Linked DNA regions of Callithrix jacchus. The protein of the gene in region 7 interacts with the protein of the main gene of each other region in a pairwise test. Links are inferred from orthologs where the notes say so. Each region holds a gene or a part of one and is shown on either strand. Other genes may lie near its edges.

The links.
Region 1: the proteins of CDC5L (region 7) and EXOC7 interact in a two-hybrid assay, tested with the Homo sapiens proteins (2 studies listed by BioGRID and IntAct). The link is inferred for Callithrix jacchus from reciprocal best matches to the Homo sapiens genes CDC5L and EXOC7.
Region 2: the proteins of CDC5L (region 7) and TRAF3IP1 interact in a two-hybrid assay, tested with the Homo sapiens proteins (2 studies listed by BioGRID and IntAct). The link is inferred for Callithrix jacchus from reciprocal best matches to the Homo sapiens genes CDC5L and TRAF3IP1.
Region 3: the proteins of CDC5L (region 7) and AKAP9 interact in a two-hybrid assay, tested with the Homo sapiens proteins (2 studies listed by BioGRID and IntAct). The link is inferred for Callithrix jacchus from reciprocal best matches to the Homo sapiens genes CDC5L and AKAP9.
Region 4: the proteins of CDC5L (region 7) and SH3BP5 interact in a two-hybrid assay, tested with the Homo sapiens proteins (2 studies listed by BioGRID and IntAct). The link is inferred for Callithrix jacchus from reciprocal best matches to the Homo sapiens genes CDC5L and SH3BP5.
Region 5: the proteins of CDC5L (region 7) and XAB2 interact in a two-hybrid assay, tested with the Homo sapiens proteins (2 studies listed by BioGRID and IntAct, with this or other methods). The link is inferred for Callithrix jacchus from reciprocal best matches to the Homo sapiens genes CDC5L and XAB2.
Region 6: the proteins of CDC5L (region 7) and WWC1 interact in a two-hybrid assay, tested with the Homo sapiens proteins (2 studies listed by BioGRID and IntAct). The link is inferred for Callithrix jacchus from reciprocal best matches to the Homo sapiens genes CDC5L and WWC1.

Annotation. Positions count from the first base shown.
Region 1 is NC_133506.1:131,991,421-131,994,920, forward strand, and holds part of EXOC7 (exocyst complex component 7), read right to left. Parts: intron 3,307-3,500; coding exon 3,244-3,306; intron 2,948-3,243; coding exon 2,881-2,947; intron 2,140-2,880; coding exon 2,101-2,139; intron 1,383-2,100; coding exon 1,317-1,382; intron 1,035-1,316; coding exon 914-1,034; intron 640-913; coding exon 544-639; intron 1-543. UniProt on the Homo sapiens protein: Component of the exocyst complex involved in the docking of exocytic vesicles with fusion sites on the plasma membrane.
Region 2 is NC_133507.1:159,660,508-159,664,007, reverse strand, and holds part of TRAF3IP1 (TRAF3-interacting protein 1), read right to left. Parts: intron 3,179-3,500; exon of another isoform or gene 3,135-3,178; coding exon 3,042-3,134; exon of another isoform or gene 363-3,041; coding exon 261-362; exon of another isoform or gene 1-260.
Region 3 is NC_133512.1:57,620,490-57,623,989, forward strand, and holds part of AKAP9 (A-kinase anchor protein 9), read right to left. Parts: coding exon 1,510-3,500; intron 1-1,509. UniProt on the Homo sapiens protein: Scaffolding protein that assembles several protein kinases and phosphatases on the centrosome and Golgi apparatus. Required to maintain the integrity of the Golgi apparatus. Required for microtubule nucleation at the cis-side of the Golgi apparatus.
Region 4 is NC_133518.1:54,070,089-54,072,433, forward strand, and holds the end of SH3BP5 (SH3 domain-binding protein 5), read right to left. Parts: intron 1,964-2,345; coding exon 1,746-1,963; 3' UTR 501-1,745; downstream 1-500. UniProt on the Homo sapiens protein: Functions as a guanine nucleotide exchange factor (GEF) with specificity for RAB11A and RAB25. Inhibits the auto- and transphosphorylation activity of BTK. Plays a negative regulatory role in BTK-related cytoplasmic signaling in B-cells.
Region 5 is NC_133523.1:7,201,175-7,204,674, reverse strand, and holds part of XAB2 (pre-mRNA-splicing factor SYF1), read left to right. Parts: intron 1-39; coding exon 40-184; intron 185-571; coding exon 572-723; intron 724-1,126; coding exon 1,127-1,246; intron 1,247-1,329; coding exon 1,330-1,461; intron 1,462-1,558; coding exon 1,559-1,690; intron 1,691-1,774; coding exon 1,775-1,888; intron 1,889-3,244; coding exon 3,245-3,407; intron 3,408-3,500. UniProt on the Homo sapiens protein: Involved in pre-mRNA splicing as component of the spliceosome. Involved in transcription-coupled repair (TCR), transcription and pre-mRNA splicing.
Region 6 is NC_133503.1:31,160,590-31,164,569, reverse strand, and holds the start of WWC1 (protein KIBRA), read right to left. Parts: upstream 2,801-3,980; 5' UTR 2,360-2,800; coding exon 2,241-2,359; intron 1-2,240. UniProt on the Homo sapiens protein: Regulator of the Hippo signaling pathway, also known as the Salvador-Warts-Hippo (SWH) pathway.
Region 7 is NC_133505.1:52,864,076-52,867,575, reverse strand, and holds part of CDC5L (cell division cycle 5-like protein), read right to left. Parts: intron 2,233-3,500; coding exon 2,088-2,232; intron 418-2,087; coding exon 229-417; intron 1-228.

The DNA.
Region 1 (3,500 bases), on a different chromosome or scaffold from region 7:
CACAGAGCCAGGAAGAAAGAGGACCAGGGAAGCACAGAGATCCCCACAGAGCCAGGAAGAGGACCAGAGAAGCGCAGAGATCCCCACAGAGCCAGGAAGAAAGAGGACCAGGGAAGCACAGAGATCCCCACAGAGCCAGGAAGAAAGAGGACCAGGGAAGCACAGAGATCCCCACAGAGCAACGCCCAGCCAAGCTCAAGTGCTCTCCTAACCCTGAGCTTCTCCTAGGCTAAACATGACCCACATCTGTGACAGCCGGCTCTTCAATTACTCTTGGCCTTGACACTTGGTAGGCTCCCCTCTAAAGTGGCTGGCCACAGTGGGCCTCTAGGAGCAGGTAGTTGCAGACGAGGGGGCTTCTCTCTCCACCCCATGAGTTTGATTAAAAACCAAGTGGAAGATTAGGGTCCAGAGGGCAGTTCCCCATGACTGATCCCTCTGTCCTGAGGTGCTGAGAAGGAAGACTGGTTGGTGGCACAGGGTTGGGGTGAGGACAGAGACGGCTGGGGTTCCATGCAGGGCAGGGCGAGGCCAGCCTCTCACCTGCGCTGGTAGGTCTGGACCTGCTGCTCGATGTGCTCCCGGTAGGAACGCTCGGCAGTCTTCTGCGTCACTGCTACCAGCTGGATCAGCTCGGACCTGGGTGGGGGCGGGGGACAGAGAAGAGAAGGACAGGATTGGCACCTAGGTGCAAAGGCTGTAGCAATGCCTGGGGGGGCCTCCCATTGCACCCCAAACTCCATGAACTCTACAGCAGCAGCACTCCCACCTTCTGGGTCCTGGGATGGAGGAGACTGAAGTACCCCCTCCCCTCCCGACCACAAGAGAGGGAGCCCAGGAGGGCAGGGGCTGGCACAGCTGCACAGCTGAGGGGAAGGTGAGAGCCACAGACTCGCTCTTGCAGGCCACTTACTTCTCCAGGGACTTGAGGATGTAATTGTAGTTGTTGTGCAAGAAGATGGCGCTCAGAGCGGGGTCCTCATAGACCTTGGACTTGCTCAGCAGGTTCAACTGCAGGTTGCCCAGCACTTTACCTGCATAGGGAAAAGTGGGGCCATCCCCACCATGGTGGTTTGACCCAAATGACCCCATCCCAGGACCCGCTAACCCACCCTTATCCATTGCTCCTCATCCTGCTTCAGAAGGCCTTAGCCCAACTCCCCTCGGCCTCTGAACTAGAGGTCAGGTTGTGGTCCCAAAGGTCAGATGGCACTTAGCAGAGGGCTCTGGGAGTAGCCAGAGAGCACAGATAGAAGGAAGGGAAAGGCAGGGCATGCCGGCAGCAGGGCTGCTGGTCCGCCCGGGAGAACACTCACAGATATAGGTACTTAGCAGCCGCTTGCTGAACTCGGAGCTGTAGCTGGTGGCAGAAGAACTGGTCTCTGTGAGAGAAGGCCTGTTATTGCAGTGGCAGCAGCCAAGACCCTCAATGGCTCTTCCCCCAGCCCATGCAGCAGTCTGAGGGGGCACAGAGACAGGCCCTGGGCTTCATTGGGCAGAGCCGGCTACCTGCTGAGTCACAGGGAAGCCCCTGCTGCAGGAAGCACCAGCCCTGGACATTTTGGAACCCAGAGCTGCCCTCTATGATGGGGTGGTGTGGCCAAGGAGCTGGTCCAGTTCAGCAGGAGGGTGGGCAGGACAAGAGTGAGATGCCAGCGCCCTGCCCCCTCCCTGCCCCCAGCCCACCCCAGGTAGTTTCTACAAGGCTGCCTCTTCCCTTTTGCCAACAGCAGAGGCTTAGTATGAGCTCCCCACAGTCTCTCCACCTCTCCCTACATTTCCAACATCCCCCTCTACCAGGCCCTACTGAACAGAGGAAGCTCTGGCCTCCACAGTGTGGAAGGCTGAGGGGGATGGCAAGGCAGGGAGGCCGGACGAGCCTGTGGGGTGTATTCAGGGCGCTGACCCCAGCAGGTGCTGTGGATACGCTCAGAGACAGAGTGGCCCTGAAGGGAGGAGAGAGAACTTAGAGTATCCTGGGAAGACTCATGTTCCCTCTGACCCGAGCTCCCCAATAGGTCCTGAGAGTCAGTCCCCAGGGAACCTCACCCACCAGGCTTCAGAGGGACAAGAGGGGGGCTGCAGAACCATACTGCTTACCTCGGGGGTCTAAAGGAATATTGTATGTGTCCCCAAGAACTACGGAGTGAAAGGCAGTGCACAGAGGGGACGCAGGGAGAGACAAAGGAGGGAAAAAGATGCAAAGTGCAAAAAACAGGTTAGAAACGGCACGTCAACCCATTAAGCAGACCTCTCCCCACAACAGCCAGAACACAGACAGCAAGACACAGCAGGCGGGACCTTCTGAGGACCAGGGAGCGCCCTGCAAAGTAGAGAGCTGGAGATCCGAAGACTGGTGGCTGCCCACGGGCTCCCTGCTCCCAAAATGGGATGGGAGGGCCTGGGGACCTCAGTGCTTGGAATGACTAAGAAAGCTGCTCTTGCTCACAGGCCGACCCCCTGAGCTCCAGTCTCAGGGCAGGGGCCTGCAGGAAGACACCCAGCTGGCCCTGAGATGCTTGATACCCATGGAAGGCCAGCTGAGCGAGCCTGATTAGAGCAGGCAGACATGAGAGAAGGATCTGGGAGGCGGAGAGGGGCAGAAAGGACATCTTCCAACCAGCCAGCACTGCTCCCAGAGTGCGGACACTGCTTCCAGGGCGAGGAAGGTCAAAGGGGCTGAGGGAGGGGCCAGAGGTCTAGTGTCTAGTCTTGAAAGGTGCAGGCAAACCTTGCTCTCCTGATGCTCAGCCCCAGGGCCCCTGCGCAGGCCACATATCCACGGACTGGAGAGCCCCTCACTGTGCCCTGCCCTCTAACCTCATGTCTCCAGGCAAGGAGGGTTGTGGGGCAGGGGGCCCAGCTGGGAGGTGCCAGTACCTTGGGAGGCCAGCATGGCACCTGCTGTCTCCTGGAAGTCCAAAAGCTGCTGCAGGAAGAGGATGGCCTGGGTGGGGAGAAGACGGTGCAGAAGGGCAAGTGGCAGGCCTGGCCGACGGCTCCCACACAGACCCCTCTGAGAGCCCAGGACCAGCCCGGGCTGGGATTCACCCAGGAAAGAGCGAGGCTGGAAACCGTGTTTTATTTTGTGGGCTCTGGCCTGCCAGGAAAGGCCTCGTCTGTTACAGACACTAAGCACGCCACCACCCATCCTGCCACCCATCCTGCCACCGGGGACTACGAAGGTGCAACTCTGGAAGGGACCTGGGCCCGCCTTCCTCCCGCCTCCCCAGTGGTGCCTACGTTGCTGGTGAGCTCGTGCACGGTGCCGTCCTTGGGCATGTTATATTCCTTGTCTGGGTCATTCTGCGGAGAAACAGCCTCTGGTTCCCTGAGCAGCCCCTGGCCCACCCCACACCCCAGTGTGCCTGCTCATGGTGCCACCTCCTGGCAGACAGGTGCTAGGACACCTCTCAGGCACAAAAGCCGAGCCAGGCTGGACCAAGAGGGAGAGGGGCTTCCTGCCTCAGAGGGCTTGGAGGCCCTGGGAAGGAAAGGAA
Region 2 (3,500 bases), on a different chromosome or scaffold from region 7:
GGATCATTCAGGACACCTCCCAAGTGATGAACCATGCCACCTCCTCTCACTCACAAAGCATGGGGGAGCACATGAGTGGGTCTCCCGTTATCAAGAAACCACTGTGTTAGATTCTGGTTTATGCAAAAAGCCAGAAGTGAATCACTCGCCACGTTCAGACCCAAGGGAGAGCCTTGAGCTCTGGGCTGTGGCCCTTTGGGAAGGCTCTGGAGGGCTGACTCTGCTCTCGCCAGAAAAGGGTAAAACGGGACCATTCTTACCTTTCTGCTTCACTGCAGAATCGGGCTCAATATTTTCACACCGCAGACTAGCTGAGTTATCATCTGAAATACTAGTTGAGTTAATATTAGCTTCTTTTGTTCCTGACATAAAACAGTTTGAAATTAGTCATTAAGACTACACCAAAGGGCCGGTGATCAGCAGTTTTGTTAACACAGAGCATGCTCACTTATCTACATCTTCCCACACTGCAAGTTGACAAAGGATTGACCAAAGGCAGTTTTTAGAAAACATGCACCTAGAATGTTCCTTCCCCATGGGTGGCTCCACAATTAGGTGGAGGAGAAAGAAAATCCCAGACTGTGAGTGTGTCCTGGGTCTACTTGGGCCATGAGGAGCAGGCTGTCCCCGCCCCCATTTCTGGAGCTACCTGACACTGCCAGTCTCCACTTGCCTCCCCACTAGAACCAGACCCAGCAGCTGAGAGGCTGCAAGTAGGTTACCAGGTAGTTCCAGACAACAGATTGTGCTTAGTCTGTGATTCTTTGTTTTTTTTTTTTTTTTCAATTTATAGCCATTTTTATTTTATTTTATTTTTGAGATGGAGTCTCGCTCTGTCGCCCAGGCTGGAGTGCAGTGGCACGATCTCGGCTCACTACAACCTCCTCCCAGGTTCAAGTAATTCTCTGCCTCAGCCTCCCGAATAGCTGGGACCACAGGCGCCTGCCACTATGCCTAGCTAATTTTTTTATATTTTTAGTAGAGACGGTTTCACCATGTTGGCCAGGCTGGTCTTGAACTCCTGACCTTGTGATCCACTTGCCTTTGCCTCCCAAAGTGTTGGCATTACAGGCATGAGCCACCGGCGCCCAGCCAAACTCTTCAATCCACCCAAAAAATCAAAATGATAACATAAACCCCAGGAATTCTCTGATGATGACGCAGACTATGGGCACAGGGCTCGCTAGGGCTGGCTCGGTCACTGCAACACAGGCCAGCTTTCTTTGGCAACGTGGACTTTTCTTTGAAGCACGAAGAAGGAAAGGCACTGTGAGGACCAGCTCGCTAACCAGACCCAATGGCAGTGCACCTGGAGTTCACCCTCAATGAAGAAATCAAGGAACAGTAACAACTGCCAGCAAACTCTCAATTCCAAATGTTAGCCATGGCCAGTGCAAGGTAACACCTGCAACTTTGAGGACAGAGAGCCCAGGCCCGTGCCGTGGCAGGACCCCAGGGGAGCAGGGCCAGGGCTGGGGGAGGAGAGAGAGGAGGGACCAGGAGTCTCTCCAGAGCGCAGGCTCTGCTCCTGGCCACTGTTCCCAACCCCCTGCACGGCCACCGCCACAGAGAGACTGTTCCCCAGCAGGTGGCATCAGGCTCCATCCCTATCTCTGCAAAAAGCTGAACGCAGAAACCAAGGTCAGAGTCTGTGCTTCTCACTGCCTGGCTTGTGCTATCTCCACACTTGTGGCTATTACCTACGTAGTGCTCACTACCTGTCTGGAGAATGCTTTCAATTTGTTCTAAATCCACTGCCCATCTCAGGATGAGCGCTGTCTCGCCCTGATCCGGGGTGAGTGGCTGCCTTATGGACATCACCTCCTTCACCCTCAGGCAGGTCTCTTTATGCCCATTTATGATGAGGAAACTGTGGCTCAGAGAACCCACTCACATGGCTGGCTAAGGTCATGAGACAGGTAAAGCAGATGGTGGGGAGTTGCCCCAGCGGTCTTAGAGATGGGGTCCCAGCTACCCAGATGGGGGCTACCAGGAGTCTACCCCTCAGGCTTTTGCCGCTGCCTGCTGCCCTGTCCTGTGTACAGAACTGCAGAGCGGCTGGGCGTTTCCCCACAGGTGCCTGGGGATGAGGAAAGCTACCAGAAAAAGAAAACATACATCACAAGATGCTGCTGAGCTGTAACATGCATTCCCACGTGGCAAGGGCTCTCTCCAGTGAAAACCCCTGCTCCAACTCAGTCACCTCTTATTGCGCCATCCCATGCTACCGAAGACCCAGGTAACTCCCATACAGTGGCCCTACTTGGAATAAAATAACCACAGATCACCTTTCACACTGCAGCTGCTGTACCAATCATGCCCAATCCTGGAAGTGCCAGCTCTGAGGGGGAACACATGCAGAGAAAGAAAGGTGCACCCACCGGCATTCCAGCTACACTTCAGAATTCATCAAAGTCAGACAGATACAAGGCAAGTTGGGCCCAGCAAAAATCTTATCTTCCCCTAAAGTCTAATTTTACACTATTTTTTCCTTAAATGCAGCTGAAGAATTTGAATATTTCTGAAGAATTCCCTCTGTAGTCACAGATGACCGCAGTTACTGATACTGAACCAAGGCCCATCCCCTCTGAGCCAGCAGGACGAGGATTGAAATGTGACTGGCTGTGACAGGCTGGCTTTCCTGGTGCCTGAGAAGCACTTTAAACATCTCTACTGCGAGCATGTTCTGAGTAGAATACAGCAGGGCAAGATGAAGACAGAAAACCCGTTTGTCTATGCCGTCACCCGCACCACTGTGAAATCCCAACAGCAAAATTAAGAAAGCATTCTGACTGAAATGTAAACATAAGCTATGTACAAAAAGCTTATCATTAACTTAAAGCGGAGTTAATAGAGTTACGTAACTTATCATATTTAAGCAAGTAAAACCCCAAGGCGTTTCCAACCTTCAGTACATCATGAAAAAGTCTGATGAACATACAAGTGTTTAGAATCATCTTTTTAAATGCGTAACTACACTGAGATACAGCCATTCGCATTAGAGGGGTAAGGAATGAAACTAAAGCATCTGCTTTTCTTACCGATTTCGGAAGTTGTTGTTTCCCGATTTGGCTCATTTATTCCAGACCCTACGGAGTCTAAAATTTTAGCTGAAATATTATCCTGCTTTCTTCCTGACATAAAATAGTTAACAACAGATTAAAATATTGTAAAAGATTTTGTGTTTGGTTTAGTTGGGATTTATAGGGGATATACGAAGGTCACCAGCAAACTGTCTTGTCAACTAAATGGTCAATTCTCAGCCTCCACACGACTCCCTCACATTAGAGCTTGACAAGAAGCCCCTCTCTCCTTCCCTAACACTTTCTTCCTCTCCAAGTTTTCCTCCAACTTGTTGGCCTTCTGTATCCTTTGTGAGGATGATCCTCCATCTTTCCTCCTCCTCCTCCATCTTTTTTCCTCTTCGTCCTTTCCCTCCTCCCTCCTCCCCTCCCCCTCCCCCTCACCCCGCTCCCCTTCCTTCCTCCCTCCTCCACCCT
Region 3 (3,500 bases), on a different chromosome or scaffold from region 7:
ACCAACCTGGCCAACATGGTGAAACCTTGTCTTTACTAAAAATACAAAAATTAACCAGGTGAGCATGCCTGTAATCTACTAAGGAGGGTAAGGCAGGGGAATCACTTGATCCTGGGAGCTGGAGGCTGCAGTGAGCTAAGATCATGCCACTGCACTCCAGCCTGGGTGACAGAGGGAGACTTGATTTAAAAAAAAAAATGTGTTAAGCAATTTTAATTTCTTGACTCTAGGCTACTAAATATGTAAAATACCTCTACATTTGATATAAATCATAAGTATAAACATAAAATATCTCAACATTTGACATAAGGACATAAATATGATATATTTAGGAATAAAAAGAAAAAACTTTCCAATGGCTTTCTATTATACTTAAAATAAAATTTAAACTTCTTACAAAGTCTATAAGATTCTCCAAGATCTCTTCCTCCTTCAAACTCTTCTTCCACTCTCCCGTTCTCTCAAACTCAATTATACAGGCCTTTATTCTGTTCTTCAAACTTATAAATGTCTTCACAATTGCTCTAATTTCAGTGTCATTCAGATCTCAGTTCAAACATCAATTCCTCCAAGAGACCTTTCCTGACCACCATACTTAATGGCTATCACCACCACTCCATCATTCTCTATCACATTATCCTGTTTTATTTCTTCACAGAATTAATCACTATTTCTAACTCTCCTACTTGTTTCATTATCACCTGCCTCCCTCACTAAAATACATGCTCTTTGAGACCAGAACTCTCTCTCTTGTTGGCTACTATATTCGTACTTGTCAAAAGTCAATAAATATTTGTTAGACAAATGAAGAAAGGCATAAAATTTTAGTTAGTATCATTACACTGTAGATACTCAGCAGAATTTTCCTGTTATTTTAATATCAGTATCTGGTAAATATAAATTATCAGGAGTGCTCTGTTGTTATATACATATAATTCTTTAACTATATTTACAGTTAATACTGTTTTTTCCCCTTCAGGTATAACAAAGACTGAAAAAATAATAGGACTTGAATCAAGGGTTTTTTTTCTTCCAAGAAAATATAATTTCATAACCACCTAATAACTATATAGACTACTAAAAATCTTAGGAGTTCATTTGCAGTTGTGGAGACTTGAAAACATCACTATGAAATAAAAACTCTGAAACCAATCTTTAAGATTATTTCAAAATATTACAAAATGAAACTAATCACTTTTCTAAAGCTGAGACTCTCCAAAAAGTTATACAAACCCTTGTCTTTCCAAAATAAAATCTGAAACCATTAGTGTGTTTTATTTCCTAAGCAGAATATATGAGATAGATTAACTGCAAGAAAGGCAATAATGTTTAAAAAAATACTTAAATGATAAATAAATATGATAGGCTCAAGTTACAATTACATTAGAGGGTTCATTTTCATTCTCTTGTAAGGATATGAATTTATATTTTATGTTTTAAGAACTACATTTCTAAGTGTAAAATGTACATTTTGACTGTGCTTTACCATATATAAAGAAGCAAACATACCTGTTCTGATTTAAGTACATTGAGTTCTTTCTGAAGTTTATCATTTTCACTTGGTTCAGTTGCTCTAAGTGATGATTCCTTTGTTACTGAAGGCAAGTGATCGAAAATCAACTGTTCTTGCTTACTTTGTTTTCCAGCAGTCATATTTCCAAAAGAAACTTTATCTTCCACCATTATTTTTGATTCTTCACCAAAACTTCTATTTACTTTAGAAATTGATCCTTCAGCATCCCTGCTTGTCACAGTCACAACTCCATCTGATAAAGAGCTTACTTGAGTATCACATGACTGTATATTTTCTGCCCTGTTGTGGTTAATAATGATTTCTAGCTCCCTACATTTCAATAAAACTTGCTCTTTCTCTTGCTTTAAAGATTTAACTTCTTCATTTAGAAAACTAATCTCACCATGTTTCTGTTTCAATTGTTCAGAAAGATCAGACAGTCTCTGTGACAGCTCTAATTTCTCTCTCTTGGTTACCTCAAGCTTTTCCATGAGTTCTGTTGTATCCTTCTCAACAACCTCACCGATTTCCAATGTTTCTGCTAGAAAAGTTTTGTCTTCATCAAAGACAGAACTTTTCATTTTTACTGGAACTGGATTTATTCTTTGCAAATGAAGCTCTTCATTAAGTGCCTTAAGCTTACTTTTATACTCTAATTCCTGTTTATTTTTACTGTCTTCTAAATCATCTTTTACTTTGAGAAGGCAAGCATACTCCTCTTGTAACTCTTGATAGTTAACTTCAAAGTTCTTTTCAGCAAATGAAAAAGTGTTCCTTTGTTTTTCAATCTCTTCATTTAGATGAATACATTGCTGTTTGAGGTCCTCATTTTCCTCTGTAAGAATTTCTATTTCTTTTTGCCAGACAGAGTCTTTGGATTTGGACTTAATGGAGTCTATGAAAATCAATCTTTCTTCTTGGTTAATAGGAGTATGTATTTTCAACATGTCTTCAAGGGCTTTCTTTTCATCTTTAAGAATGCTATTCTCTGCTTCAAGTTGTATGAATTTTTCTTGAAGATCATTCTCTTTTTCCTTCATCTGTTTTTCTAATAATTCTGTTTTTAGTTGTAATTCTTGAACTTCTTGTTCAAGTGTACCCTTTTCCTTTTCTTCTTGCCTGAGTATTTCAATTTCTTTTTGAAGTTCATTGATTTGAAGAGTCATCTCTTCTGACTTTGAATTTACAAGAGACTGCTGTAAATCTTTCAGCTTCGAAATTTCCAAAATTAACTGATTCTGCTTAGTTATCAAGTTGTCTTTTTCAAACTGCATGGTTTCTATCTTTTGACTCATTTCATTCTGTAAACCATCTATCTGCTGTTTATAGTGAATGCTTAAGTTATCTTTAAGTTTTTCAATATTTATTCGATGTTCAATTTCTAAATCTTCCTTCAGTTTGGAAAGTTCTTCTTCATGACTAAATAGAAGCTGTGTTCGCAGCCTCTCTAATTCGGCCTCTTGTGATTCAGCCATTCTATCTAAGACAGCATTCTTTTCTTTTTCTAACATTTCAAGTTTTATCTTATAATTTGTAACTTCTGCTTCATGTTTTAATTCTAGTTCCTTTCTGGATTCAGATGCAGAAACAATCTCAGCTTTCAAATCTTCCACTGTACTAAGGGACTTGTGTGCTTCATTCAGTTTACTTTCTTGTTCAGCTACTGTCTGTCTAGCTCTCTGAATTTGCTCCCTTGAAAAGCTCAATTCTTCAAAAAGGTCTTCAAGCTGTCTCTGTAGAGCACACTTTTCTTCTAAAATTCTTCCTAGTTCTTCCTTGAGTTTTTCCTTTTGAGAGTTAGTATCTTGCAATTTTATATTCAGTTCATTAATTGCCATATTCATTAACTTTATCTGATCTTCATTAACTGTAATATTTGGATGTGACTGTAACGCATTCTCCATTTCTCCCTTATGCAGTGCTTTAAGTTCCTCCATTTGTGACATGTGTTGTCTTATTAATTCTTGTTTCATTTGTACTATCTGCT
Region 4 (2,345 bases), on a different chromosome or scaffold from region 7:
TGAAGGACCTTTTTCTCCACAGCATGTTTTAATAATGAAATGCAGATTAAGAGTCCACCATTATAACATTTCCACAAGACAAAGGATCCACCTGATTCTCAACTCTGAATGCACATTTGAAATCCCCTTGGGGAGCTTTTAAAAGTCTGATGCACAAGTGTACCCCCAGTTAATTAACTCTGGGGAAGAGACCTGACAGCAACACTTAAGCTTCCTAGGAGACTGCAGTGTGCAGCTGAGGCTGAGGACCATTCCTCCAGCATCACCACATCATCTTTATTTATCTGTCACTGTGTCTCCTCATTGCCCATAGCTTTAGCAGCAGCAGAAGTAGAACTCAAACCTTGGTAATCAAGGCTTAAATTACTACTGTTCTTCAAAACCTTAATTGAAAATGATTACTGGTGACCACAGCACTCCATGTTCTTCCTTATGGCAAGAGGGTGGCATAGAAGATTTAGACAATACTGGGAGTTCTTATTTGAAGTCACAGAGGAAACTTTTCTCAAGCGGTTTTTATTACACTCAATGTATTAAGACAAGTACAAAATAACCTTGTAATTAGGATACTGTATCAGTCAAAAAAGGAGGAGTCACTGTTGTATGAAGAGATTTACAAATGACTAAAATATACAGGCTGTGACAGAATTAACAATTTGAAAGAGGGTTTTTTTAGAAATGCTAAATTTTCTTAACAAAACGAGACAAAAATACAGTGCTCTAAATATGCATTACCATGAAAACATTAAAGAAAAGCAGTCTTAACACTTACTACTATTAACATAACAGACTCTGTTGCTTCTATTTAACAGCCTTTGCCAACACATGCCCACTCCCTTTCCTAGCTTTAAAGAAGTTTCCTCTAAGGAATACTAGTGCAGCATAACCCTTAAATAATTTCGTTTATTTTTAAAGTTACAACCTACAGATAAATTAACACCTTGTCAATCTAATAACAGTGGCAACCATTCTTCACATGCACTTCTCTTAGAATAAATCCCCTTAGCCGGCAGAATAAGGTTTATGCTGTAGAACCTTCTCCCCCACAGCCACAGATTCCCTTCTATGATAAGTCCCTCCTACCCTCATGCCCCCCCCATCCCCACTGGCATTCACCTTCCCCATCCCAAAAAGTGCAGCTCTTGGTAGCCTTTCTAGAAATGGTTTTAATGGGTATCTTAGCATACACGCTTTTTAAAAAGCCCCCTCTGAACACCAGAGGTGATGAAAATGAGTTGTGTTCTTGGATTTTTTTAAGCCTCCACCGGGTCAAAAATATGTGCTCTCAATACTTGAGTTTTTGCTTTGTATGTGGGTTTTCCTTATCATTTAGCTATCATGGGGTAAAAGTGGAGTGAAATCTCCATTTTCCCATTCAAAATTGAGGGTGAGAAGAGAAAGAGAAGCAAGCTGTTGGCCCCACTTTGGCTTAGCTTCCCAGCCATCTTCCCAGCTCTGGTTCTTTCATAGGAACTAGTTATTGCTTCCACAGTGCCATTACAAGGAATGTTCCACAAAGGCTGTGAACCTGGTCACAGTCTGCCTGCGACAACTCTGCTCTGAAAAACAAACCAGCTCAGGACTCTTACCCAGAACCATCTTCAGCCCTCAAGGTCACTGAAACTTCATTAGTGCAGTTTAGAGTAGACGCGTAAGATTTGGCATATATTAAATGATTATTGGCACAATGTTCTCCAGTTCCATGTATAAATGTTGATACGCACATGGGCAGGGCCCAGGATGAATCAGCCAATCTGCACCATTTTTATGTCAGCAATAATCCCATCTCTTCCTTTTGAGCGCTGTAGGGAGAGCTGCTTCATCCGGTTCTCCAAGGCCTGGCCCTCAGGGGAGGTGCTGCTGTGGCTCTTACTGCTGCCACCACCGCCACTGCTATTGCTGAGGCCCTGGTTGTTGTTGGCTTTGTCACTTGTTTTATTTTCTGCCCCTTCTGCCCTGTCTCCTATAGAAATACAAAGATTATCAAAAGTGAGTCTTGACAATTTTAAGTCACTTTGGGCTCAAACCAACTAGCTAACTCAGCCCTGTGGAATTCCCAGTGTTGCCTTCTGTGCCTATCCGGGAGGTTCTGAGTATGTAATCACTTACTGCTTTTATTCCTTGTGATGTTCTATATATTCCTTGACTTTAGAGATGAAATTTGCCATATTCACTTTATAGCTGAGAAACAAACCTTTCTACTATGTGCTTGCCAAGGAGACTGTTCTGATGTGAGACACAGGACCTAAGCCCTACTTTATAGAAGCTGAGTGGAGCCAGGAGCCTCCCCAGAACAGCACTTGGAAATAACCTCAGTGATCAACACTGACAGCACAACCAGAGAC
Region 5 (3,500 bases), on a different chromosome or scaffold from region 7:
TCAGTTTCCTCTTAACTCCCCCTCCCTGGGTCGCTACAGGCTCGGGACGTGTACGAGGAGGCCATCCGGACAGTGATGACCGTGCGGGACTTCACACAGGTGTTTGACAGCTACGCCCAGTTCGAGGAGAGCATGATCGCTGCAAAGATGGAGACCGCCTCAGAGCTGGGGCGTGAGGAGGAGGGTCAGCCTCTGGGGGACCCGGCTGGTGGGGAGAGAGCTGAATGGACGTTGGCAGGTGGGGGCAGGGCATGTCTTAGGTGGAGCAGCCCCGGGAAGGAAGCTGGGTGGAGGCAGGGGGTGTGGGGGTCTTGGAGGAGCCAGGAATGGGGTCACGTCTCAGGCCTGGGTCAGAGCCTGGCAGGGCAAGAGGGCTAGGGGAACAGTGGAGTAGGATGGGGTATCTGCTGGGGTAGGGGCGGGGCTCAGGTAGATCCCCAAGCTGAGTGTGTAGGGCCCAGAGAACTTGGCTAGGGTCTGGAGTGGAGTGAGGGTTGGGAGCAGAGGTGGTGGCATGCGGGGATCTGCGTCCTGGGCCTCTGCCTCTCATGAACATGTCCGTGACTCCCAGACGATGTGGACCTGGAGCTGCGCCTAGCCCGCTTTGAGCAGCTCATCAGCCGGCGGCCCCTGCTCCTCAACAGCGTCCTGCTGCGCCAGAACCCACACCACGTGCACGAGTGGCATAAGCGTGTTGCCCTGCACCAGGGCCGCCCCCGGGAGGTGTGTGAAGCCTGTCCTAGTCCTGCCCCTGAGGGCCATGGGGGCCTGGCCTCTCGGGGCCACAGTTTTCTGCAGGACTGGGGAGCCACCCACCTTCACCCATAATGTCACCTCCTAGGGGCCTACCTGTGCTTAGTAGGTCTTATTCTACTTCTGATCTTGGGGTTCTTGTCTTGCCCTAGCCTTGCTCCCAGAGCCACAGTGCTCCTGGCCCTGGCCCCGACCCTTAGGGGGCCACAGCTCCCTCTTGGCCCCACCCCTCAGAGCTACTGTTCCTTCCTGGCCTCTTCCCCCAGGGGCCACGGCACCCTCCAGGCCCTGCCCCTCAGAGCCACAGCTCTGCCCCCCCAGTCACCTGCAGAGTCCTGAGTCCCATATGACTTCCTCCTCCCTCCTGTCCCAGATCATCAACACCTACACAGAGGCTGTGCAGACGGTGGACCCCTTCAAGGCCACAGGCAAGCCCCACACACTGTGGGTGGCATTTGCCAAGTTTTATGAGGACAACGGGCAGCTGGACGATGTGAGCACCCTGCTGCATGTGCCTGTGTGTACGTGTGTGTGTGCATGCATGTGTCTCAGCCTGGACTCTGTCCTCCCTGGCAGGCCCGTGTCATCCTGGAGAAGGCCACCAAGGTGAACTTCAAGCAGGTGGATGACCTGGCAAGCGTATGGTGTCAGTGCGGGGAGCTGGAGCTCCGGCACGAGAACTATGACGAGGCCCTGCGGCTGCTGCGGGTGAGAATGGGCCTGGGCTTTGGGGTGGGGGCTGCAGGTTGTACGGCCAGGGCCGGGAACAGCCCCTGAGCTCCCCAGCCACCCTCTCCCTCTGCAGAAGGCCACGGCGCTGCCTGCCCGCCGGGCTGAGTACTTTGACGGCTCAGAGCCCGTGCAGAACCGTGTGTACAAGTCACTGAAGGTGTGGTCCATGCTCGCTGACCTGGAGGAGAGCCTCGGCACCTTCCAGGTGAGCTGCCTGTGGCCAGGGAGGGCCGGGGCCCAGACTTGGCTCCAGAGCCAGCTCCGACCTGTCCCCTCCCCATCCCTGCAGTCCACCAAGGCCGTATACGACCGCATCCTGGACCTGCGCATCGCAACACCCCAGATCGTCATCAACTATGCCATGTTCCTGGAAGAGCACAAATACTTCGAGGAGAGCTTCAAGGTGAGGGGCCAGGGCGGACCCAGAGGCCCCGGATGGCCGTGTCTCTTCCCAGGGGCCTTAGCAGCTTACAAGTTTGCTGGGGCTTTTGAGACACAGTAGAGACTAGGTGGCTTGAACAGCAGAGACCCAGCTTCTATGAGTCCTGGCAGCTGGAAGTTTGGGATCAAGTCCTGGGCAGGGCTGGTTCCTCCGGAGACCTCTCTCTCCAGCTTACACATAGCTGCTTTTTCCCTGTGGCTTTGTGTGGCTCTTTCTTTGTGTATGTCACTGTGGAATTCCTTTTTTTCTTTTTTTTTTGAGACGGTTGGAATGCAGTGGCACCATATCTGCTCACTGCAACCTCTGCCTCCTGGGTTCAAGCAGTTCTCCTGCCTTGGCCTCCTGAATGGGATTACAGGCTCGCGGCACCGCACCTGGCTAATTTTTGTGTTTTTAGTAGAGACGGGGTTTTATGCTGTTGGTCAGGCTAGTCTTGAACTTCTGACCTCGTGATCCACCTGTCTTGGCCTCCCAAAGTGTTGGGATTACAGGTGTGAGCCACCTCGCCCAGCAAAATTTTTTCTTTTTAAAATTCTTAAATTTAAAATTTAAAATTTTTTCTTCTTGAAAGGATATCAGTCATAACCAATTAGGCAGCCCCTAATGCCCTCAGTTTAAGTTAATGATCTCGTCTTCAAAGGAGTCTACCTCCTGAGATACTATGGGTTAAGATTTCAGCATACCAATGTTTTGTGGGGGTACAGGGTCCTGCTTCCATGTACACCCATGACTCGTGGGGAGGGTGTTGGTGCCAATGTGTGTGGTCTCTGCCTGCCTCACAGTTTAGGAGATGGCCTGTAGGGGGGCCATGGGGTGTCTTGCGTGTCTCCTTGTCAAGGTCCTGTCCCAAGGCGCATGTCTCCATATTGAGGTCCTGTCCCGAGGCCAGAGTGGTCATGTTTGTGTGTTTCTATGGATCGTGTGGGCTTTACGCAGATACACAAATGGGGAGGTCGTACATGCGCCTACATGCTGCTGCCTGCCCATCTGCCTGGGGGGGTGTGGCCTTCTCCCTGGGGACTGGCAGCCAGTGTCAGCGGAGCTGGGGAGCCACCCACCGTCACCCATAATGTCACCTCCTATGGGACCAGACTTTGCTTCACAGGTCTCATGGCACCCCTGTTCTTTTGATTCTCAGAGGGAGATTGTGCAGAGCAAAGACCCCCATAAATGTCATTAGGCACAGGGAGGCATGGACAGGGAAGGGCCTGAGCGAGACCCTGGCAGGCTCCCTACAGGTGTGACCCAAGGACATCCCAGCTTCCCAGTGGTCTCTACCTACAGACTCTTAACGTGTGACTCCCCCTCTGGCAACAGGCGTATGAGCGCGGCATCTCGCTGTTCAAGTGGCCCAATGTGTCGGACATCTGGAGCACCTACCTGACCAAATTCATCGCCCGCTATGGGGGCCGCAAGCTGGAGCGGGCACGGGACCTGTTTGAACAGGCTCTGGATGGCTGCCCACCAAAATATGCCAAGAGTGAGGCGGGCAGAGGGAGTGCGGTGGGCAGGCAGGCCAGGTTTCTGACTAGCCCCGGCCGACCACGCTCCCCTCTCCCCGCTGCCCCACACA
Region 6 (3,980 bases), on a different chromosome or scaffold from region 7:
GCTGCTCACCTAAGTGCCACTATGTTTCTGCTGCCTCTCCACGGCTTGCCAATGTGCCTAAAAACAACGGCTGGGCAGGCCAGGTGCTGGGGCCTTAGGCTGGCCATAGTACCTAGCTGATATATACTAACACTGGGGTTTTTCCCCCTGTCATTTTTGTTTCCCTTTTATGACAATAGATATAACTAGTTTCCCATTTGTGAAAATGGTACAAAAAGTTTTAAAGTGAGTTGATCTAAAGTGAAGTAGTGAGTAAGCAATAGCACAGGTGGATATAGCAAAAAAAAAATCACGGCGGCGGCCCATATAGCACTCAAATCTGGGGGGCTGTGCTCTAGCCAATCAGTTTCTCCTGCTTGCCCTTTTGCAAGGGTAAAGAATTACTGCTGTTTGAGAGAAGCTTCCTATTGCTGTATTAGAAGTGCCGAGATGCATGATTATCAGTGTTGGCGGGGACCTCCTTTCCCTCCAACAGGACGTCCACCTGCTAACAGCACACAGGCCTCACTCAGTAAGCTGCAGGGACCTAAACTGGGGCAGGTCCCATACACTTGAACTCACGCCTGTTCTGAGAAAAGAACAAGAGAAAACGCGCTGCCAAGTTCACCAACACAGTAACAAAGCCGCCAACTGACCTGAGTAGGGGTGGGAAGCAGTGTGTCAGGATGACAAGTTTGAAGGTTAGAACTTCAGAACTGGGGAAGAACTGGTATGCAGAAAGGCAGAAAAATCAAAATACCTGAGCAAATCACACCTCTGGGCTTCACATTTTCTCTTATGTTTCAAATGGGAGTTGGGCTCTATGTCCCTTCCAACTTTTAGGCGTCCCAATATTCCCTTCCAAGCAAACCATTCATCTGACAAACAGGGAAACTGAGGCTCAGTGGCTGAAGCAGCTTGCCTAAGAGATGCTCTCTAGCATTAAATATTTCTCTTCCAGATTACATTCATAAAACACTCAGCATGGTGCTAAGTGTAGAGGAGGCATCCAGGAAGTGCTGAATGAATGAATGAACAAAGTGCTCCCAGAAACTACTGGGAATCTCAACTCTCATTTTCTTTCTGCTTCTTTTCTTTTGTAAACCCACATCTTGCTACACTTCTGGGACACCCCCATCCCAACCACACAAGATGAAGAGTCCAAGAAATTCACCTTAGTTGCTTTACAGGGACCTGACCCCCAAGGTCACAGACAAGGTTTAAACTCCACATTCCCCAAGACACTCTGACCACAGACCCATGTCAAAACACCGTGGTCCGGGGACTCCAAGACGTACATGGATAGGGTCTATGTATTTGTATGTGCTGCGTGTGAGCAAATAAATGCCAGCCGAAACCAGGAGAAAGTCCGGAGAGGTGAGAGGTACATTGAGCCATCTCACGCTCCACCTGCCTCTGCACATCATCTCAAACTACAGCGGCCTGGTACCCACCAAGGTCAGTTCCCGCTGGTGCAGGGCCGAGGAGCCTCGCCCTCCCCACCTCCCCGCACCAGCAAAGAAAGGGAGGAGAAAGAGGCAAGGGACAGGGCTTTCCCGGAGGCCTCTCACCTCCATCTCCATCCTAACAGCTTCCAAGTTGCTGCTAGATTCCTAGAGAACCAGTCTCCCTCATCTGCCCTCCCCCGGCTTCTTCACTTCCTCCCCACCCTCGGGCTCCAAGCCCCCCTGGCTGCTCCTGTGCTGTTCTCGGGAGCTTCGGAGGCACCTGTCAAAAAGCACACCCCAGGCTGCCTTCCTCGGCGCCGAGTGTCCGCTCTCCGGTAGTCTCCCAAGGAATGCTCGGTCCCGACCACTCATTACAAACCGGACACTTCCCCATCCCCATCCGCCCACCCCCTCGCTGGGGGGGAGCCTCCCCGGGAAGACCTGGTTTCTCCCGGCTAGGTCGCTCCCCCCACACCCGCCCCCGTCCGACCTATCTTCCTAAAGGGGGCGGGGGGGGGGACCTAGAGCTTAAGGTCAAAACTCCCGGCAGGTGCCTGCTGGGGCCTAAGTCCTCCATCTGGGGATGGTGGTGGGGCAGCCGGGGCCAGCTCCCCGGCAGGCGCCTCCTCTCCGTAGCCCACTGAGGCAGGAGCAGCACTCCAGAAGGTTGCGAGGAGCGGGGGTGACGAACTGAGGAGAGCGCAGAGGCACGCAGAGCTCCCCCGCCCCGCCCAGTCCCGGCCGGCGGCTCCAGGGGCAGGTGGGGGCCCGAGCGGGGGTGTGAGGGCACGGAGGAGGGTCCCGGAGTCCTACCTGTCCCGCGGGTCGATCCAGCTGGTGGTGCGGTTCGTGTGGTCTATGTAGTAGATCTTGCCGTCGAAGTCGCGCGCCTCCTCCCAGCCCTCCGGCAGGGGCAGCTCCGGCCGGGGCATCTTCCCGAGCGCGGCCGGCGCTCCCCCATACAGCTCCCGGCCGCCGCGGGGGCTCAGCGGCTCCAGCCGGCCGCTCTTAGCCCGGGCGGCCGCCGAGGCACCATGATGGGGGGGTGGCGCCCTCGGACAGGGGGCCCTAGTGGGGGCCGGCCGGTGTGGCGCCGCTGTCCATGCGGCCCTGCTGCCCCGACCCGGCGCCGCCCGCTCCGCTCGCCGCCGGCCTCTCACGCTGCCATGTGCGCCCGCAGCGGCGCGGTTTGGGCCCGGGTGCGCGCCCAGCCGGCCGGGCAGAGCGAGCCGAGCGCCGCCGCCGCCGCCGCCGCCGTCTGCCCTCCTCCGCCGCGCGGCGCACTGCGCCCTCCACGCCGCCGCCGCCGCCGCCGCCGCCTCCCTCTCCTCCCTGCAGCCGGGTGCCGTCCCTCCTCTCCGCTTCGCCGCTCTGAGCTCGCTGGGTTTGTGACTTCTGCCTCCGCCAGGTGCGGCTTGGGCGGTGCAGGTAACCGCGCTGCCCCGGAAACGGGAGGCGGAGCGCCAGGCGCCTGGGTTCCCGGGTCCCCTCCCCGCGCGCAGCGCCACGAGGGCGGGTCCTAGGGCCCGAGACGCGCCCCCTCGTGGGACAGTCCCAGCAGCCGGCCACCCCTACGCTGCCCCTGCCAGAAGAAGGAGAGACCGTCTCTCACCTGGGTCCCAGACCCTAGGGGGTTGGGCCAAAACCCGCTCTTCCTCTACCTACTATGCTCCTGTCTCTGTCCACCCGGAGTAGCCAGGCTCTTGGCACAGGTGGCCCCAAATCTTGAAACTCCCTGCTTTTCTGTTGTGTGGAATCAGGAGTCAGGCAAGAAGTGGTTAAATGGAAACATTCTTGCGAATTGGGAAACATAAGTTTTCCAGGATCTCTGGTCCCTTCCCCCAACACCCGCACCATCTGTCTCCTCCTTATTCAACTCTCCCCACGTCGTTTCGCCCACCCTCCACCCCTCCCCACCATTTGGAAATGTAGCTGGCTCCCCTTAGGGCCCCTAAAATTAGGAGCGCTGTGAATCCGTTTTCCTGGGAGGACTTCCAGAAGGTGCCAGGGAAAACACTTTGTAAAAGTAACAGTAATACCATCGTTATTGTTAGCTAAATTGAGGACTTACCTGTGACAGGCTGTGGCTAGCAGCTTCACAGGGGTGCTTTCCTGGGATACTTTGAGGTAGGTGTGTTATGGATCTGAGAGAAGTGGGTTATGAAAAAGAGGAAAGCAAGCAAAGCAAAATTCCATCTTGAAAATGTTAAAGCGAATAAAACAATCAGACACAGCGTTTCTTTAGAAATTAAAAATGTGGGCCAGGCGCGGTGGCTCACGCCTGTAATTCCAGCACTTTGGGAGGCCGAGGCGGGTGGATCACGAGGTCAAGAGATCGAGACCATCCTGGTCAACATGGTGAAACCCCGTCTCTACTAAAAATACAAAAAATTAGCTGGGCATGGTGGTGCGTGCATGTAATCCCATCCACTCAGGAGGCTGAGGCAGGAGAATTGCCTGAACCCAGGAGGCGGAGGTTGTGGTGAGCCGAGATCACATCATTGCACTCCAGCCTGGGTAACAAGAGCGAAACTCCGTCTCAAAAAAAAAAGA
Region 7 (3,500 bases):
AGAAGAGCTGGCTTCTAGAAGTTACAATAAATGTGAAATTAAAACTACCTTATTGCTGAATCTATTTAGCTTCTCTACTACAGAACGTTGCAAGATCTATGCATTCAGGACTCAGTTTCAAACCATTTACACAGGAAGAAACATAACCAAACCACTTAGTTCTGCTGCATGGTACTTCCAAGGACAATAAACAAAGTAAAAGGCTCATTCTACTACGTGACACCTTACCTGAAGAATTCTGTCCTGGGAAGCTGGTGTTCGTGGTGTTCTAAGAGCAATGCTGTTGTTGGTGACATTGTACTCAGACAAAAGAGTGCTGGAAGCAGAGTTTGTTATGCCAGATTCCTCGGCAGTCTGACGTGCAATTTCACTTGCTTGGCCTACTTTTACAACTTCCTGGAGTTCTGCATCTGAAATCTAAATGGACACAATTATCACAGTAAGCAACATTTTAACTGAGGCCAGACATAGTGGCTCACACTAATAATCCCAACACTTTGGGAGGCCAAGAAGGGCAAACTGTTTGAGCCCAGGAGTTCGAGATCAGACTGGCCAACAAAGTGAAACTCTGTCTCTATTTAAAAAACAAAACAAAACAAAAAAACCAACATTTTAACTGAAAACTGACACAGCTTTAAATTTCCATATTCCAGAAAAATGAGTCGCTGAAGCTGTGTGATTAGTATCAGGGGTTCACTGTAGTACTCATCCTTTTTGTGGCTTTGAAAGTTTCCATAATATAGCTTCAGAAAGCCTTCCCTAACAAATGTTGGAGGAAAATTCATATATGATATAGAATCAAGCTACATAGGCTGTATCTCCATGCTGAAATTCTTTCAAATCAACGTATCAATGTACCAAGAATGTAAAATAGCAGTATTTATACAAAATTATTCATCAATATGTGGGAGGAGAAAGACTGAAAACCAATTAAAATATCACACAGAAAGAGTCCAGTGAACCACCAGATCCGTAAGAAAATCTAAAGGTATCATGTCAGTAATTTCACCAAAATAAATATCCTAAGGTGTACTAAGAAAAAAATTAAAGACAAAATTTCAATTTAATAATTATCCCCACTAGGAATGGCAGGATATGACAAAATTAGTTTATGCCCATGAATCCTATGTTGATGCAGCCAATGTGCTCATTTGGGAAAACAGTTCTTCTGGTCTCCCATGTCCTTTCCTCTACACCATTAAATCTGTCCAATTCTACCAAGCTGTACTACTCAAAAAAATAAAAGGTTACTCTAAGGTCCCATGTCTCTGACCAACTACAGTAAGTCAAAAGAATACAGCGTGTAATAAGCTGAATGAAGGAATGTTTGTATCTCTTTTCTCCACAACTTCCAGATTCACAACTGTTGTCTCAAAAAAGAGAAGCGTAACACAACAAAACATTCCCTGGGAAAAGGCAGCTTAAAGTCCACAAAGCCAAATCAGACCTTTACCCTGGTCAGTTACAAAAAGTAGCCCTAACCTGCTGACAAAATGTTAAAAGCTAACAATTACTTACCAAACCATCATATGAACAGTTTAGGACCTGATACAACAATGTATACAGAGAAGCTGAAACTATCTTATCATATTATATCACAATTACTTGTGAGCTTTTTTGTCTGTCTGTTTTTGAGATGGAGTCTCACTCCATCGCCCAGGCTGGACTGCAGCAGAACGATCTTGGCTCACTGCAACCTCCACCTCCAGGGTTCCAGCAATTCTCTTGCCTCAGCCTTCTGAGCAGCTGGAATTACAGATGTATGCCACCACACCTGGCTAATTTTTTTATTTCCAGTAGAAACAGAGTTTCACCATGTTGACCAGGCTGGTCTTCAACTCCTGACCTCAGGTGATCCGCCCATCTCAGCCTCCCAAAGTGCTGCGAAAACAGGCATGAGCCACCACAGCAGGTGTGAGGACAGCGGCCAGCCCACAGCCACTTGTTTTCGTGTGTGTCTCACCCACTAAACTGAATTTCTTAAGAGCATCCAGCACAAACGTGGTACACAGGCCTTCAAACATTTGCTGAATAAATGATATGGCATGTAAGTTCACACAGTGAAAAATTTGCTTTTATCAGATTACCTGAGGGGCAGGAAGTACTAGTTTGCTTCTCTTTTTAGTAAATTCAGAAACACCACTAGTTTGAAGAATAGCTGATGGTAAATCAGATTCTTTTTTTCTCTTCAAATGCTGTTTGTCTTTTTTTCTATCTCTTCCTTCTTTTTCACTGTCATGGATCAAGGCAGAGAAGAGATTTTAAAATTACATATAGGCAAAAACATTAAAATCCATACAAATACTCATAACCTTTGAACAATCTCTTTTCTAAGACAATAACTAAAAAGGCTGTGCACGGTGGCTCATGCCTGTTATCCCAGCACTTTGGGAGGCTGAGGTAGGTGGATCACCTGAGGTCTGGGGTTCAAGGCCAGCCTGGCCAACATGGTGAAACCCTGTCTCTACTAAAAATACAAAAATTAGCCAGGCATGGTGGCATGCACCCATAATCCCAGCTACTCAGGAGACTTGAGGCAAGAGAATCATTAGAACCCAGGAGGTAGAGGTTGCAATGAGCCAAGATCGTGCCACTGCACTCCAGCCTGGGCAACAGAGAAAGACTCCATCTCAAGAAAAAGAAAAAAAAGAGACAAAAACTAAAAGAAGACAAAAACAATATATATTAAGTAGTTTCCTACATAATTACTTACTATATTCAGGATGAAAGCAAACTCAGAATAACAATAAAATATTATTGAAGTACTAAATATTAATATATACAAGTATAAAGATAATGACAAGCAAAACATTCCACATAATGTCAAAAGAAAAACATTCCTGCATTATGAATATATTCAATAAGAATGTGTGTGCACATAGGAAAAAGTATGACAAGCATGTAAAAGGGAAAATAAGTATATGAAAAAGATAAAATTAAAACATAATTTTTAAATTTCTCTTTAAAACTGTTATTAAATTGTCATGATTCTTAAAATTCACAATTTTTTTAAAAAGGCTATTTTAATACTGACAAGTGACATCTAAACATGTAGGAAGTCTAAAGCCAGGCTCAAAGCAGTCTTTCAAAGCTCCAGGAATACCTCCTCCCCTTCTGCATGTCTTTCTTGCCTCCTGCACTTAGTACTCCTTCCAAAAATTGTTTTCCTGCCAAATCTCTTTATTTGTAGAGCCTACCTAAAGCAAAGTCCTAATCTGAGGAATACAAGGGAGTACATCTAAAAAAGTCCTATTTTACAATGACTAATAGCTGTTGCTTTGTAACAATTCATGTCAACAGAGCAGAAAACTTTAAAAAATCCTTGACAACCATAAAATACTCTCCCTACAACATTTATGTATGAGATTTAAAGAAACTAAAAATCTCAAGAAATAGGAAAAATCTGCTATCCTCTAAGACATAAAGATTTTGTAAATGTATATCTATCCCCATCAAGTGAAAAGATCAGTAAGTTTTTTCTTTTAATTTCATCTTAGTAA